Linked DNA regions of Arabidopsis thaliana. The protein of the gene in region 2 interacts with the protein of the main gene of each other region in a pairwise test. Each region holds a gene or a part of one and is shown on either strand. Other genes may lie near its edges. The genes, in order: AT4G00390, MBD4, GATA6 and AT1G61730.

Region 1 (4,123 bases), on a different chromosome or scaffold from region 2:
TCTTAAACCTTTTGATTTGAAAGAATTCGAATCTGTAATTATTGTAATCTTGGTTTATGCTTTTTGTTTTAAGTTCTTGTTAAAAGCCACCTAAAATGATGATCAAACAAGTTTGTGTTAAGATTATTTTGGCATGTAACATAGTCAATAATCTTTTTATTAAGGTTTCTTCTTGGCTTATTTTGGACGAGTTAGGCAGTATCTTAATAGTAGTAACAAAGCTTTAGTTTTTGTAGTTCATAAGTCAAAAGCTTTGAACAAAACAGTGTTATCTTCTATACCAGACACAAAAACTGTGTTGTTTATATAGTTAAATCATCCTGAAGCAATGTGACTAAATTTTTTGTAACCAAGCTATATTTGCATTGCTATGGTCTTGTTTTGTGACCAACAGACTTGGATGCAAAGTAGGTATAACTTGCTAAATGTCTGATTTTGGAAATAACTTATGAAGAGAAAATCTTCATTTGGTAAGAGTTGTTTTCTCAATGTAACAGTTTACTCATCATTTTCAAACTCCAACTCTCACAGAACACAATCAAGTTACAAAGTGCAGATGCTTATGGTTGGGAAGCTTTACCTAACAATGGTACAAGGCGGTTTTGTCAGGAACATAGATTCGTTCTTGGAGTTGGTACAAGAACTTCTAAAAGACAAAGATGAGGTATAATAAGGACAAGTTGACGAATAAAAAAATAAATATTATAACGTAGAGAATCTTTCAACCCCAAAAAAACAAACCAGAAAGAATCAAATCCTAAATCCGAAAAACAAAAGAAAGCATTATGCATAGCATTACGATACAAAAAACCGACAAATCTAAGTAACTAGTAGCTCTAGTTCTTCGAAGCATCAACGAAGTAAGACGTAAGGTCAGTCAAACGCACACTCTTATCCAACATAGCCTCAAGCTCTTTAGCTTGCATCAACTGAAACTTCTCTTCAACAATCTTCTTAGTCTCAAGAGTAAACGAACTCCATTTCTGCCTCACATAATACTCATCAATACCCGAACCAGCAATCATCCTAGCAAGAGACGACTTCTCAAACCAATCATCTCCATTAGTTGAAGAAACACCAACAAACGCCAAGTCTTGCTTTACAGAATCAAGCTTCTCCTTCGTCTTACTCGCACTCTTTTTCGACACACCGTTGGACTTAGCATTAGAATCAAGAGCTATTCCTTTAGGTCCCCAAATAAACTTTGACAATTCAAAAGCTTTCTTATCATGAGCTTTCACAAACCTAGGTTCGTCCTTTCCTTCTTTAGCACGGTACTTCTTCCTTAAACTCCTAACCTTATCCGAGAATTGACTCTTACTAACCTCAAAGCTGATAGATTTCTTCTGGAACTCGTAAAACGCATTAGTATCTGCGGAAGGAGACTTCCCTGTATCAGCATGATAATCTATCATTCCTTGTAACATAGAGATTTCGTCATCGTCACTCCATAGTCTTTGAAAAAGTGCTGGCTTCTTTACACTCTCTTCATCTTTCTTGACTCGTTTCGTTGAAGTCGTCGCAGCTTCACTCGCTGCCCTCTTTGCTCCAGATTTCACCGCCGGTAAAGCTAAAGTAGCAGTCGACGACGACGGATCATCTTTCTTCTTTGAAGCGATTGTTTTACCGGATCCAGATTTCGGAGGATCCGTCGATTCAGAATCCGAATCTGTTTCACTCTCCGAACCAGAATCGGAATCAGCAGCGGCGGAGACGGCGGTGGATTTAGAAGGAGCAGCGGCGGAGACGGAGGTGGATTTAGCTGGAGTAGCGGCGGAGACGGCGGTGGATTTAGCAGGAGCAGCGGCGGTTGTGGCGGGAAGGGATTTGATTGGTTCGTCTTCTTCAGATGAAGAGGAATCATCTTCGGAAGTCTCGACGTCATCTTCGTCGCTTGAAGGTGCCGTTGGTGGATCGAGTTTCTTCGTCATCGGAAGTTTCAAAAGAGCAAATCGGAATTTTCGAGAGAAAGAGAAGATGAGAAGCTTCTTAGGGTTTGTGAGGAAGATGAGAAGCTTCTTAGGGTTTGTGACGAAACGATGATAAGTGAAAAGGAATATTTATAATCAATTTCGATATTCTCAAACAATAATTGCGAAATTTGCTTTCCTTATTCAAATCGTTTCATATTTCCAATGTAGCAGTTCCCGTTAAAATTCCATTGTTCTATGAGTTAAACAATTAATATTGTCATTAAATTAAGATTCTAAATCTCAAAGAATATTATTTGTTAAGTTTTATAATCTTATTATATAAAAATTTTTGATTTGTCTAATGTTAGAAATTGTAATGAAAGAGTAATTTAGGTTTAGGTCATGACATTAATGACTAATCATAATAAGTACAATTTCACATTTTTGCTTATTATATACAAATCTTTGATTTGCCTAATGTTCCCATGGATCTCATTCTCATACAAATCATAATAAGATCTCATTCTCATGGATCTCATTCTCATTAACAAATATTTGGTGAAGGAGTTTAATATTATGTATAATTAAAGCCCACTAAAAACTAATATAGAAATTGTAATGAAAGAATAATTTAGGTTTAGATCATGACATTAATGACAAATCATAATAAGTATAATTTCACATTTTTGCTTCACATATTTTCGCACTGTAATGATTTTTTTGCTTTCATTTCATTTTTCTGTTAATTGTATATATACAGAAATATCTATATACAGAAATATATTCATTTCTTACTGCCAATGTTTATAAAATCATCCCAAAAAATACAGGAATATGAGTTTCTTTTTAATGAATTGGCACCAATAATATAATACATCAAATCCCAAGTTTTCGTCTGTTACTTAAATGATGATAATGTAGACATTTTTACATTGGAACTCAAAATTCATGATCTCTTGTCCGCCAACACTCTCATGATGATAATGTAGACATTTCTACGTTGGAACTCAAAATTCATGATCTCTCGTCTGCTACACTCTCATATTGATATCACCATTTTTCAATTCGGTAAAACGAATCTAATTTCTCTAAAAATAAAAGAAATTATGACAGTGTAATAAAAAGTTTTTTTGTTTTTTTGTCAAGAGATTTTTTATAAAAGCGTATAGTTAACAATGATCTTATTTAGTTTGTTAAAAATTTAATTATTTTTTTCAAAAAATTGCTACTTTTGCAACAAAAAAAAACCATAATTAATCATTCACAATTCCACCGAAACATAGTTTTATTCAAACATATATACGTCGTATGTATTTACATTTGCATGATCCAAAATTTACTTCCTCCAATAAAATTTTGCACTTTAAATAGAAAGTCTCTATACACATCCGTATAGAAACGGGATCACAAAATAGTTTTTAAGGATATAGTTACCCGTTCGACATTAAGAACAAAATAGAATAAACATAACAATAACGTACCATAATGATGACAAGAGCTCAAGCAATTACACACATGAAAATTCGTATATGATCCAACCTTACTTGCAATAAGTCAATGCCAAGTTATAACAAGAATAAGATATTCACTTCTTGGTGTTGTTGATAGACTCCACCTTGCCGTCATTACCTCCAAGCAAAAGATATTTATCCTTGCGAGTAAGTTCGGTGCATTCGAAGCCCAAAACCGCGCCGATAACTTTCTGGACGTAATTAGCCACCTCTATAGGAGTCTTGCCACCACCGTTGACAGTCATTTCTTCAGGCAAACGATCCAAGAAAGTGGCTTCATAGCTTGGTCTTGGGTTCATGAAGAAGAAGTAAGGGTCCCAAAACTTCACACCCCTAACTGTGGTCCCGTTGAACATTCCTTGTTTACAGTTCATCGCTACTGGCACAATCCGGTCGCTTAGCTCTGCGAATAGAGCGCTAAATCTCAGTAGATACTCTTCTCTACACGTCGTGCCTTCCGGACATATCACCAAGTCGCCTGTTATACACCAAAAACATATCATTAGCTCAACAACTCCATTGATTTTTAATTTCTCAACTAAAGATTAATGTGAATGTAAGTCAATATTCAAAAGAAGTAAACAATATTATTTTATGTTCATTTATATAAATTTGGTTAGAAGATGCGTTAATTAGGTACCAAAGTAAACATCAAAGACCATACCAAAGTAATATTTACTATATTGAGATTTGCATGGG
Region 2 (3,785 bases):
TGGAGTTAGTCCAGAATAATAGACTGCATGCCGTTTAACGGTCTAAACAAAGACAACTTGTAGTAACGTGTTTTCTTACAAAATGACATAGCAAAATTAGCATGCATGGCTCAGGAGTTATCACATATCGTTAAAACATTTTGGGTTTGCTTTTAGCGATTGCCATTTGTCGAGTGTCTCAAAAGATTCTTGTGGCCCGTATAATGGGCTTTAGAATATCGTTCTATAAGCCCATCAAATTAATGAACTGAGTATTATTTCCGGGAAAGAAATAACGTTTTATGCAATTACGACCCAATTAACTTTATAGTTTTTTAAAACTGATGGGGAATGACCCAATTCAATGTTTTCACCCTCTCAATTGCAGCCATTAGTTAATACTGTAGTAATGTTTAGAAACTAGTTTCAAAATTTTCGTAGAAAAATTCATGTAATATTTTTAAAAATCATTCGATGTGCTGCATGCGTATTTCCCAAAAATTAAAGTTAATATGATTTAAGATTTTGTTCACAATTACTGCCACCAGAAAAAGGACGGTGAGATTAATATTTTACAGGTGAAAAGATTTTTCCAAGACAAGGTTTAATTTGACCATGCGGACCAATTTACTTACAAGGTGTCATGGTTTACAAAAGCCCGTTAAATGAGTAAATCCTGATCTGTTTGCCACGCTGGCAAAACCTCTCGCAGAGGCCCCACCAAATACTATAAATCATTAAATCTCGTTTAAGGCCCAAAAAATGATGCAGAGTTGCGATCGTAGAGAGTAGAGAACAGGGAAGGACGAGCGGTTATGTTAATCATGACGTCATCCTCTACGATTCTCACCGGAGATATAGATGAAGAACACCGCACGTCGTCAATGGCAGAGGAAGACACGCCTACGCATTCCCATCGACGGCGCTGGAGCACTCCTGTTGATTCCGGCGGCGAACCTCTTCAAAGCTTATCCGTGAGCAGATCTCTAGAGATAAAATCAGACCACGAGAATCCCGACGACGAGTGCAGGGAACATAGAGGTGTGTGTGGAGTTATTCTTGACGAATATTTCTCGTGTTCTTCGAAAAATAACAGTTACAGTTTCTATCTAGGAGGGAAGATATCGCCGTGGGGACCGTATGGACCGCCGCTGCTGACGGAGTCGAGATCAAAGGCGCCGTCGCCGCGGAGAGGAAGAAGCGTGACGAGGAAGCGAGATCTGCCACCATTTTTGACGACACTGGATTGTAACGGACGGCCGAGATTTCATCACAGGAGAGTGAGAAGCGAAGGACGGTTAGAGATTGCCAGCGTGGCAGTAGATTCACCGGAGATCGTTAGTGTTCGTGGGAGAGAAGGACTAAGAATCGGAACAGTGAGAATCAGTCAACAAAACGACGTAGTAGAAGATGATAATGAAGATAAACAGAATCACTGATCTTCCTCTTAGAATTTTGATATTTTCAGCTAATTTTCCGGGGGGAAAAAACGACATTGTAGTCCGATGATCCGTTAGAAACAAGATAAGAAAAGGGAATTATGGGCTTTACTTATGAATATTAGGCCCATAATAATATTTTGTTGCAAAACAAACCTGGGCCTGAAGCCCAAATAATTCGCTCAAGCCGACGTGTTAATTTATGATTTGTCCGTCACAGTGATACATTAAAGCACAGGCTGTGCGGTTATCACACTGTTCGCAGGAAGACTTATTTGAGAGAGTTTTACTTTTGGGGGACACAAAGATTTGGAGAAAAAGTTTACTAAAAAAGAATCTGGGGAAGTAAGTGAGATGAAGGAAGAGGAGGAGATCGGAAAACCAGCGAAACCAAAAGCCAAGGTAGTCCCACAATGACTTACATATATTTCGCTTTCCATTTTCTAGGTTCCGTTCTTTGCGTTTTTCTTCTCTTTATTGTGTTAGATGCGAACCTTCTTATAATTCCGGTCAAAGTGCATGCGTTTTTCGTGTTCTTACTGTCTTTGGAGATCTCAGATCCCGTATTAGTAGTTACTATTGATGGAGGAAGTTATACAAGGCATAGAATTCTAGGTTATCAGTTTTGGGGTTCACGATTTTTTGGTGCTTGGAAGTAAATTGTTGGTAGTTAACTTTGAAATCTTTGGTCTTGCAAACTTTGAGTCAGTCTCGTGATGTGTCGTTGCTTTCAGTTATTGCTCTAAGAAAGCCTTGGTTCTTTTCTTTAACGCTTGCTGGAGTAGTGTCGCTCCTTATTCTTGCCTTACATTATATATTTCTTCTACGCTCACAAGTCTTGTGTGGGGTTGTTTCACTGAGACTTAATGGCAGAAAGATGTTGCTCCTGGGAGGTTGATTGATACCTATGCTGCACAGTGCGATAACTGTCACAAGTGGAGGGTGATTGATAGCCAGGAGGAATATGAAGATATCAGAAGTAAAATGCTCGAGGATCCTTTTAACTGTCAGAAGAAACAGGGCATGTCTTGTGAAGAGCCTGCTGATATTGACTACGATTCTTCTCGGACTTGGGTCATTGACAAGCCTGGTCTCCCCAAAACGCCTAAAGGTTTCAAGAGAAGCTTAGTTCTCAGAAAAGATTACTCTAAGATGGATACCTACTACTTTACTCCTACCGGGAAGAAGCTCAGGAGTCGCAATGAAATCGCTGCCTTCGTTGAAGCCAATCCGGAATTCAGGAACGCACCACTTGGAGACTTCAATTTCACTGTCCCCAAGGTCATGGAAGATACTGTTCCCCCTGATCCGAAGCTTGGCTCTCCTTTTCCAAGCACTACTACCACTACTTCAGAGAAGAGCAGTGTCAAGCAGAGCCATAACTAATATGTTCTCTTCTACCTTCTTTCTGCTCCCTAAAGCAATGCGTTTTGAGTCTTTATAGATTTGATGTTCTCTAAAACTGTTATGATATTAACATCTCTAAGCAAAAAAATATGATCTTTTGTCTCTTCTTTAACCGGAACTCAAATGTTAAATATTCTTTTAATTTGGATTCTTACACCAAAGAAACACACTTATTCCTTACAAGTCCCCTCGTAAAACATTAAGTAGAGGCTACAACTCCGGGAATTCTCTCATGGCAAATCCTCATGCACCTTATAGTGAGCGGTTCCTCTTGAAGAATACTGCACGATGTCTCACAGACTTCCTCGTTGGACATGAAGCATCCGGATATGCATTTTTTATAGGCCTCCGGTTCGGTGTAAGACAGGCATTTTCTGTTGCATTTTGTCTGCAAACCCTCATTAGCAACACCTTCTCCTCCTATGACCATCATCTCTGGTTTGGACTTGGTGCGAGGGCAAACGGCCATGCAATGTTGAAAGAGTCCTTCAAAGGGGTTGCAAAATGCCTCACAGAAGGGATTGTGTTCTTCTTCTTGTCGTCCACTTGTCTCTTTCTCTATCTCCATCATCAACAGTTCATTGCACTTATCTTCACACTCTTTCTTCTTGTTGTGGATATCATGTTTACAGTTGTGCTTGCACTGTTCCACCACCAAATCTTCTACTGCACTTGACACTGTTGCACTTTCCAACACCAGAATAGCCCAAATCAGTGAGATGACTACTACCTTTGCTTTTGTTGGTATCATGCCTCTAGTCATGTTTTATAGATGTAATAGGTTATGATGATAATTTTTGTGTTATACTATATAGAGGGGTTGGTTAGTGACATGCAAGATTCTACAGGTGTTACGGGTACGTGTAGGTCAAGATTCTCCTATCATCCACTTGGACATCATGCTTTAGCCTGTGCATAGACGTGTCCAAATCCAACATAAGGAAACTCCAAAAAAATAAA
Region 3 (4,274 bases), 4.3 Mb from region 2:
AAAACTAGTATATATATATTCGAATTGTTTAGTTAGTTACATATTATGCAGCATTTACGAAACACGTACTAAAAGCTATTATTAATAGTCAACTCAACTAAAACCATACGAGGAATAAAGTCCCAAGGTAAATTGGTAATTCGTGATAATCTCAAAGATATGGTCAACGAATATTATCACATTGCAAAAATGGATAATATTATCACGTCAACTAAGGTCGTATTCAATCTCCAAAAATACGCAGAGTAATAAATTAGTCAATAAGAGAGTGTGCCCAGTACGTTTATTTTTCTTTTTTCAGTTATTGTATATATTTTTATTTGTGAAATTTGTTTTTTTTTTCAGTTATATTATGTCAATTTTAGAAATACAAGAGAAAATGTGATGGATATAAATAAGTAACAACAAAAAATTGGAGTTACTAACCCTGAAATAAAGCCTACTCCTAATTTGGTATAAATTGATCTCATATTTTATACACTTGATAACTATCAGTCTACCAATAATTATTGAGCATACATTCTAACTAGAAAATGAACCATCTCTATCAATTAATATAAAAACTATATATTATAACGTAAATATAACGTTAGAGGAGGTTAAGAAAAAAAGAATTCTGAAAATTAATGCGAAACAAAACAAATATAATAGTAAGAGTTTTAAAAGTTTTAACCAGTTACTAAATCTAAAAACCTACTACGACTAACAAACAAAAAATCAAATTTGTAATTTAAAACATACATAACCCGTTAACATACTAACTGGTGATAAATCTGAACCGGGTCGGATCCTAATTCTGCTCCTTTAAAAACCTTCCACAATTTCTTCAAAAACTCGAGACAACCTGAACCGTCTGAACCGGCTGGTTCAAACCGGTTTCTTCAGCACCGTCAGAAGTCTCTTTCTTCCTACGCATCTCAATGACTTTACTGTGGTGGTTTGAGTGAAGCTCACTCGAAAATGTTGGGCTACAAGCGGGTCTATATTCGGGTAGTAACCGACCCGATTTGTAACGCACACCACACGCATTACACAACGTCTTCGCTCCTAATGGTCCTGCTCTCCACTGCGGCGTTTTCTGAACTCCACAATGACCACACTGCCGCGTCTGCGTCTGCGTTTGCGTTTGCGTCTGACCAGCGTTTTTCCAAACTTTCTTCTTCTTTTGTGTTTTAGTCATTGGCTCATCAAGAAACTGACCGCTGGCGAGCCATAGAGGGCTTGAAGGACGAGGAGAGGACGACGAAGATGTTGTAGAGCTTGAAGATGAGTCGGTTAACGACTGCGAACCATGAGACCAGACTCTGACTCCGGTTCTGGCTCGTTTGGGTCTGGTTTTGACGGCCGGATGTTGGGATTTGAAGCAGGTCTCCTCTTTAACCGGTTGTACAAGATGTCTCCGATTTCCGGTTAACCAAACCGGTTTATTCGTCGGAGCAGAATACGGCGTGAAAGAAGAATCATCTACGAAATTTGATAACCATTCAAGTTCCGCTATATCATCCATCTAACAATCAAAACATGAAAAGCAAGAAATTAACAATGCAATGACTGATAATTTTTATAAATTTTGCGAAAATGAAAACACAAATTCATACCGGAACGGAAAGCCCGCTAGTGTGGAAATCAGCGGTGGAGAAATCGTTGCTCCGGTGAAGGGTATTTTCGTCAGAGACTCCTCTTTTTCGTTGTACTTTCAATTCAGCCTCATCCTCAACCAAAACGTCGTCGTCTTCTTCTTCTTTTGAGAAGTCAAGCAAGTCGTCGACGGAGAAATCATCGCCATTTTGAGCGCCGCCGGTTAGGGTTTTGTCTTTCATGTTACTGTTCTTCAACGTCAATTCAACACTCTCCATTATTTCCTATCAAACCCCACCAACACAAATTAGGTTTTCTTCTTTTCTTTTGGCTTCCTCAGAATTATCAAAAACTCTCCAAAAATTATCTTTAAAAAAAAAACTCCCCCCGAAAAAAAAAACGTTCCTTTATTTTTCCAAATTCAAACAGAAAAACCCAAAAGAAAAATCACGAAAACCCAGAACCACAACTTGGTGAAACGAACCATGATTTGACTAAGCCACAGATAAAAATTCAATCTTTTTCAAACAATGTGACGAGTAAGTAACCTTCAAAAAAAACTAAAATTGGAATTACCTGAGATGAGAAGAGACAGAGAGTGAAGAGAGGAGATATGTCGGTGAATGAGAAGAAGAAGAAGAGTGGTGAGAATTTAGAAGAAGAGGTGAGTTTGGTAAAGCATTGAATATGATAGTGACTCCAGACCAAAGCCCTCTTCTCCTAAAACTAAAAAAGTTGTGAGTTTCTCTTCTTTATTCTTTCTCAATCTCTTATTTTCCCAAGAACCAAAAAAAAAAGATAAAAATTGAAATATTTTGCTTTGGTGGGAACTATTTTTTTTTACCTTTTTACTCAACCGGCAAAAATTCATAAAAATGTCTACTTTTTGTAAATTCAAAGCGTACATACGCGCTACTGTGAAACGAGAGATGACTGAAAAAAGAACGGTCTCGTTTTCGTTACCCAATCACATACATATTTGGGCTGTATTGGGCTATGTTGGGCTGGGCTTTCTGAAATTTTACGATTTGGGTATCTCATTAACAATGGCTTTTCTCCTCCCGTCTTCTTCAATTCAAAACTGTTTGTGATGATTACTCAGCGATATGCGATTAAAAGCTTCAAATTTGCAGAAACCCATCTTCTTCAGCTCCTACTCTGCCCATGATGTCAGATTCTCTTCTTTCTTAACCTCTCTTTTGAATTCATATGTGGGCTTAAGATTGTTGGTTTCATTTCATGTCTACTTTATTCCTTTTGTAATTTGACTTTTCGCTACCTGTCAATAGCTTATGGTGAATTTGGCTTGTGGTATCGCTAAAGCATCATAATCTCTTCTTCATTACTGCTATGTTTCTACTTGTTGGAACAAAATTTCATTTATTGGTGTGCCTTACTTTTCCCAGTGAAATGATTCATAGCCTTACAAGAGAATATCATAACCATGTTAAAAAAAGCAATATGAAGTAAGGAAAACAAAAATGTTCTAATTAGTCTATATAGTTTAAGAAGACTAAAGCTATTTCTTATACTGACAAATTCTTTTGGGGATTATAGATATGAGTAGTGTGTTGTATTATAATGATGCTTCTGCTACTTTCAAATGCAGATTCTCAGAGCGTCTTTCATTGAGAAGTTTCTGGTCTCCAGAATCCTTTTTGTGCACTTAAGATTCCTTCTTGGTGTTTGGAGAAAGTTAAGTGAACATCCCAGTGCAGTGACTTCAACATGTTCTCAACTTCTCTTATCACATTTGATTCGTCACGAACTATTAGTTTACCTCCTGGTCTTACTATTCTATCCACTTCTGCCATTACTGGAACAAGATTGCACCTTTCAAAACAAAACAAAACAAGAGACTTATTGTTGATGAAACGTTACCAAAAGGTGTGGATATTATGAGTTACGCTTATACCTTGTTCTCAACTTTGAGAAAAGATGATCTGCATGTAAGAGATCATAGCTTCGAGGGTATGTGCTAAATGATTCACACCAGTCATGATATATTCCGAATAGGCCTCTCTCGTAGATTATCGGTAGTGTATCTGGTGAATTTATGTTTACTACATTCATTACCCACACCTGTAGGTCCTTCAGAGCTGCTGCAAACCTGCATTTTTACGTAGTTAGTAAAAAAAGGTTTAGTTTTGGTAAGTGAGATTTTAGTTTGATTTGTTTTCGTTGATGCTCACCCTCCGTAGACAGCTCGCATGTCCATTACATTCCTCACATTTGACCAGCTGATTCCTATTTCATTCATGTATACTTTGCTTACAACATGTTTCCAGTGTTCATAATCTGTAGTGAAATCTCGAGGAGCTGGTTTCCCATATATCCCCATTTGAGAGCTGTTTAACCAGTAAGGCGGTGTTTGAAGCCGACGGGGCCAATTCACGGGCCACTTGCTTCCTCTCTCGACCACATTGGTAGGAACTTTATGCATACATGCTTGTAGGGGTACATACCTGAAATTTCCATTCAAGTTTTGACTTTCTTTGTTCTGTTAAAACCTTATGGTTATTCATTCCCTATGCAAATTGTGGAAACAATCATACCAGGCTGCATTTGCATCGTCGTTGTTTTTGCACAGTGGAGGCTTGTTGTGCTTTCTTTTCTCGTAACATTCATTGGTGGCAGGTTTCTGGTAGATTGCAGCACCAATACCATTGAGTTTATCCTTGTTGATTGTCACAAGT
Region 4 (4,081 bases), on a different chromosome or scaffold from region 2:
TCAAGTTCTTGGCTCCATCAGAAAATAATATGTTTTTGATATATCTCAAGTTAAAAGACTTGTTATTTCATGGTTCTGTTTTCATCAACAATATATGAAAAAAAAAACAATGTCTATGATTCAACACATGTTGCTAGGCATATAACATACTGGAACCACAAGTATATATGCAATTATTTGTTTTTGTGTCTTCCCTCGTGGGACTAAAAGGTGGTTCAAAAGGTTATAACCGAGCATGGAAGAGCTTCGATTATTATGTTCTTGGTTGGTATTGTCATGGTATTGAACAGTGTTGATGACTAGCTATGGATATATGTTTGGAATGATTTGTCTCTGTAGTTACATGACTTTCAAATTACCACAGAAATAAAGTTTTGGTTTCTTTGCTAAATAGTTCAAAATAGATGTGTATAACCATATCATCATATTCTTTTGGTTGTTCCTTCATCCATTTGGTTATTAGTCCATAATGCCATGTCATCATTAAACTTATAACATTATTCTTGAAATTGCTATTGTCACTTTACGCAGGAAATAATCGATCAAATCTTTACTTGTTGTCACATGCACTCAATAATACACGGAATCAGAAACAGAAACAGAGCAAAACAGAGGAAAAAGACGATCTTAAGTAGTTCGAGCTCACATAGTGAATAATACGTCTAAGCTTGATTCTCTACAAAATTCACTCTCATCTTTAATGGTTACATTAAAAATAAGACCCCAACTCTCTCAAAATCCGAGAAAAGATTACAAGAATGATCAACAGCAAAAACGTTAACACCTTGAGCTTGAACCGGCTTTCAACTGACATCAAACCAACAACCATGTTGCTTGATTGTTGAGTAGTTGGTTAAGCCAGAGACTCATGATCACTAAGAAACCTAATCTCTACATGGAACAGAGTTGGCTCTAAGACACACCGCTAGAGCCAACTTCGTTCCATGAATGTCTTAGGTGCCTTAGTTAACCTCTAAGGTAGCCATCGAGTGTCGATTTAGTAGGAAAAAAAAAATCAGGTTAAAGCCATGAACATCAATAGAAGACTTAGAATCTTGGAAAATCGTAGACGATCTTGTCAACGTTTTCACATGATCTTAAGAATTCTATTGAGTTCGTGGCTATAATCCCAACCAAATTTCATCACTGGAAGTAAAAAGTCATAACTCTGCCACAAGGAGATGTTTAGGGTTCCGATGGATTTGTTTAAGAGGTTGTCTCTGTATGTACTTCCTCTAAAGTATTACTCTTAGATCGAAAATACAAGAGGAACCAAAATCAAAAGCAAAAAGAAACGTATAATTAAGAATGGTGGTAAGTAATGTGGGTAGACTTATCATCTTTCGTTCCTTTATATAATGTTTCACCATGCTCATTTAATAATAATCTAACCATATTTTCATCAACAAGGCCCATCATGCCTTGTACCATATTTTCTTCAACGACACATGATGTTATGTTTTCTATTTTGTGAGCTGATTGTATCTGGGTCAAAATGGTCTCTGGGCCTAGTAATGGGCTCTACACAATTGGATTTACACCTCATTTAACAGAAGAACAGAAGTTAAGCATGTACAAGCCTGAAAGCCCATACTTCAGTTTGATACTGAAAAGAGAAATTTAGGCCAAGATTTTAGGAGATTTTAGATTTCAGATTTTGGTTTTTGTAAATAACATGAGATTTTTGGATCTTGTTAAGAAATTAGTAAAAACTCTTAGAATTAGATTCCCTAATTTATATAGGGAATCAACTTTCCTCAAAATCTTGAATGGTTTAAAAAATGGATTTTTGGAAAAAGCTAAAAGCAAAAACCATAGCCTTGGCTTAGGCCTTTTTTTTTTGGTTATACATAAGAAAAATAGAGAAAATATTTACCAAAGCAAATAATAAAAATCCTAAATTACTTTGACCAAAAGAAAGAGATAAAATATTACCAAAGCAAAAGTAATAAAAATACTAAATTACTTTGACCAACAGAAAAAGAGAAAAAAATAATTAATTCCCTATATTAAAAACCCTAAAATATCTATTGGAAGACAGCAACCACTTTAAACTAAAGTTAACACCTTTATATTCCCAAACACTTTTGCCGTCCTCTCCTCACAAACCCTAAAAAGCTTCTCTCTTCTCTTCTGCTTGAAGGATTCCGATTTGCCTCCTTGAAAATTTCCAATGACGAAGAAACTCAATCCACTGGAAGATCCACCAACGGCAACTTCAAGCGACGAAGATGACGTCGAGACTTCCGAAGCTGGTGAAGCTTCAGACGATTCCTCTTCATCTGAAGAAGACGTACCAATCAAAATTCGAATCAAATCCCCTTCCGCCACAACCGCCGCCGCTCCTCCAGCTAAATCCACCGCCGTCTCCACCGCCGCTGATTCAGATTCTGGATCCGAGACTGAAACAGATTCGGATTCTGAATCAACAAATCCACCGAATTCTGGATCTGGGAAGACAATCGCTTTAAACACAGTGAATCTAAAGAAGAAAGAGGATCCAACGTCGTCGTCAGCTACTTTAGCTTTACCGGCGATGAAATCAGGAACAAAACGGCCAGCGAGTGAAGCTGCTGCTACGACTTCAACGAAACGAGTGAAGAAAGATGAAGAGAGTGTGAAGAAACCAGGAGGTTTTCAAAGACTATGGAGTGAAGAAGACGAAATCTTAGTGTTACAAGGAATGATTGATTTCAAAGCTGATACAGGGAAGTCTCCTTATGTAGATACTAATGCGTTTTACGATTTCTTGAAGAAATCGATTAGCTTTGAGGTTAGTAAGAATCAATTCATGGATAAGATTAGGAGTTTAAGGAAGAAGTATATTGGTAAAGAAGGAAGGAACGAACCTAGTTTTGTGAAAGCTCATGATAAGAAAGCTTTTGAATTGTCTAAGTTTATTTGGGGACCTAAAGGAATAGCTCTTGATTCTAATGTTAAGTCGAACGGTGTATCGAAAAAGAGTGTGGCGAAGAAGAAGATTGATTCTGTTAAGCAAGAGTTGGTGTTTGCCGGTGGTTCTTCAACTAATGGTAAAAAAGTTGAAGAAGATGGTGGTGATGATGGATGTGATTGGTTTGATAACTCGTCTCTTGTTAGGATGATTGCTAGTTTGGGTGTTGATGAGTATTATGTGAAGCAGCAATGGAGTTTGGTTTCGGTTGAGAGTAAGAAGATTGTTGAAGAGAAGTATAAGTTGTTGCAAGCTAAGGAGTTGGAATTTGTGTTGGAGAAGACTAAGTTTTTGAATGAGGTTGCTTCTATGTTCGTTGAAGCTTCTAAGAACAAGCCATTAGATACATAGATTTATCGGTTTTTTAAAATCGGAATGCTATTGCCAATGCCTTCTTTTGTTTTCGATTTAGGATTTACCCTCTCTTTTTTTTGTCTTCTTCACTTTTTATCTTTCAATGTAACTTTCTGGTTATTTTATCTTTGTTAAACTCTGTTATGGATTTGTAGCTTAAATATGATAAAATTGCTTAAGGCCAGATTCTGTGAAACATGGACAAGAACAGAGCAAGTTATGTTGAATTGACTCGTGTAATTCGTGAAACAGAACATAGCAAGTCCAAGTTGTGTTAAAAACTGCAGAGAATTTGACAGATTGGTGGAAGTAAAAAGCATTCTTTTGCAACTCATTTTAAGATCGGCAAAGAAAAAATTGAAGTAACAGAACCTTACTGTAACACTATTCGTTACTCTAAAGCTGTGTTATATTGTTTAGAGACAGAAATAATCAAACTCTTGTGATAATTTGGTAGATGATAACAAATCAGAACTCTGAAGGTCAATCTTTTTTGATTCTTAGGTGAAGACAAGTTGGTTATTTCAAAGATCACGTGCTTACCTTCTAAAACAGCCTTATTGATCTACTGTTGTACCTAATGAGCAAGGACTATTTGCAAATCTTTTTACTTCTTATATAGAAGTCTCAAGACGATAAACTCATAACAACTAAATCTCTATCTCTGTAATTTCAAAAGTACAATCATGGACCAGACTCTTACACACACCGGATCGAAGAAGGCTTGTGTCATTGGTGGCACGGGAAACTTAGCCTCTATTCTCATCAAGCATT

What was found.
Region 1: the proteins of MBD4 (region 2) and AT4G00390 interact in a two-hybrid assay, tested with the Arabidopsis thaliana proteins (one large-scale study listed by BioGRID).
Region 3: the proteins of MBD4 (region 2) and GATA6 interact in a two-hybrid assay, tested with the Arabidopsis thaliana proteins (one large-scale study listed by BioGRID).
Region 4: the proteins of MBD4 (region 2) and AT1G61730 interact in a two-hybrid assay, tested with the Arabidopsis thaliana proteins (one large-scale study listed by BioGRID).

Annotation. Positions count from the first base shown.
Region 1 is NC_003075.7:170,814-174,936, forward strand, and holds AT4G00390 (DNA-binding storekeeper protein-related transcriptional regulator), read right to left. Parts: upstream 2,033-4,123; 5' UTR 1,932-2,032; coding exon 837-1,931; 3' UTR 674-836; downstream 1-673. Other genes in the region: GPAT8 (glycerol-3-phosphate acyltransferase 8), read right to left, coding at 3,499-3,902.
Region 2 is NC_003074.8:23,293,622-23,297,406, forward strand, and holds MBD4 (methyl-CPG-binding domain 4), read left to right. Parts: upstream 1-1,663; 5' UTR 1,664-1,772; coding exon 1,773-1,820; intron 1,821-2,291; coding exon 2,292-2,804; 3' UTR 2,805-3,005; downstream 3,006-3,785. Other genes in the region: AT3G63020 (hypothetical protein (DUF3049)), read left to right, coding at 804-1,418; AT3G63040 (uncharacterized protein), read right to left, coding at 3,025-3,588. UniProt on the Arabidopsis thaliana protein: Transcriptional regulator that binds CpG, CpNpN and CpNpG (N is A, T, or C) islands in promoters regardless the DNA methylation status. Plays probably a role in gene silencing.
Region 3 is NC_003074.8:18,971,221-18,975,494, reverse strand, and holds GATA6 (GATA transcription factor 6), read right to left. Parts: upstream 2,370-4,274; 5' UTR 2,155-2,369; intron 1,863-2,154; 5' UTR 1,857-1,862; coding exon 1,599-1,856; intron 1,508-1,598; coding exon 827-1,507; 3' UTR 603-826; downstream 1-602. Other genes in the region: AT3G51070 (S-adenosyl-L-methionine-dependent methyltransferases superfamily protein), read right to left, coding at 3,204-3,411, 3,494-3,688, 3,771-4,043, 4,134-4,274. UniProt on the Arabidopsis thaliana protein: Transcriptional activator that specifically binds 5'-GATA-3' or 5'-GAT-3' motifs within gene promoters. May be involved in the regulation of some light-responsive genes.
Region 4 is NC_003070.9:22,792,670-22,796,750, reverse strand, and holds AT1G61730 (DNA-binding storekeeper protein-related transcriptional regulator), read left to right. Parts: upstream 1-2,036; 5' UTR 2,037-2,173; coding exon 2,174-3,304; 3' UTR 3,305-3,581; downstream 3,582-4,081. Other genes in the region: BAN (NAD(P)-binding Rossmann-fold superfamily protein), read left to right, coding at 3,994-4,081.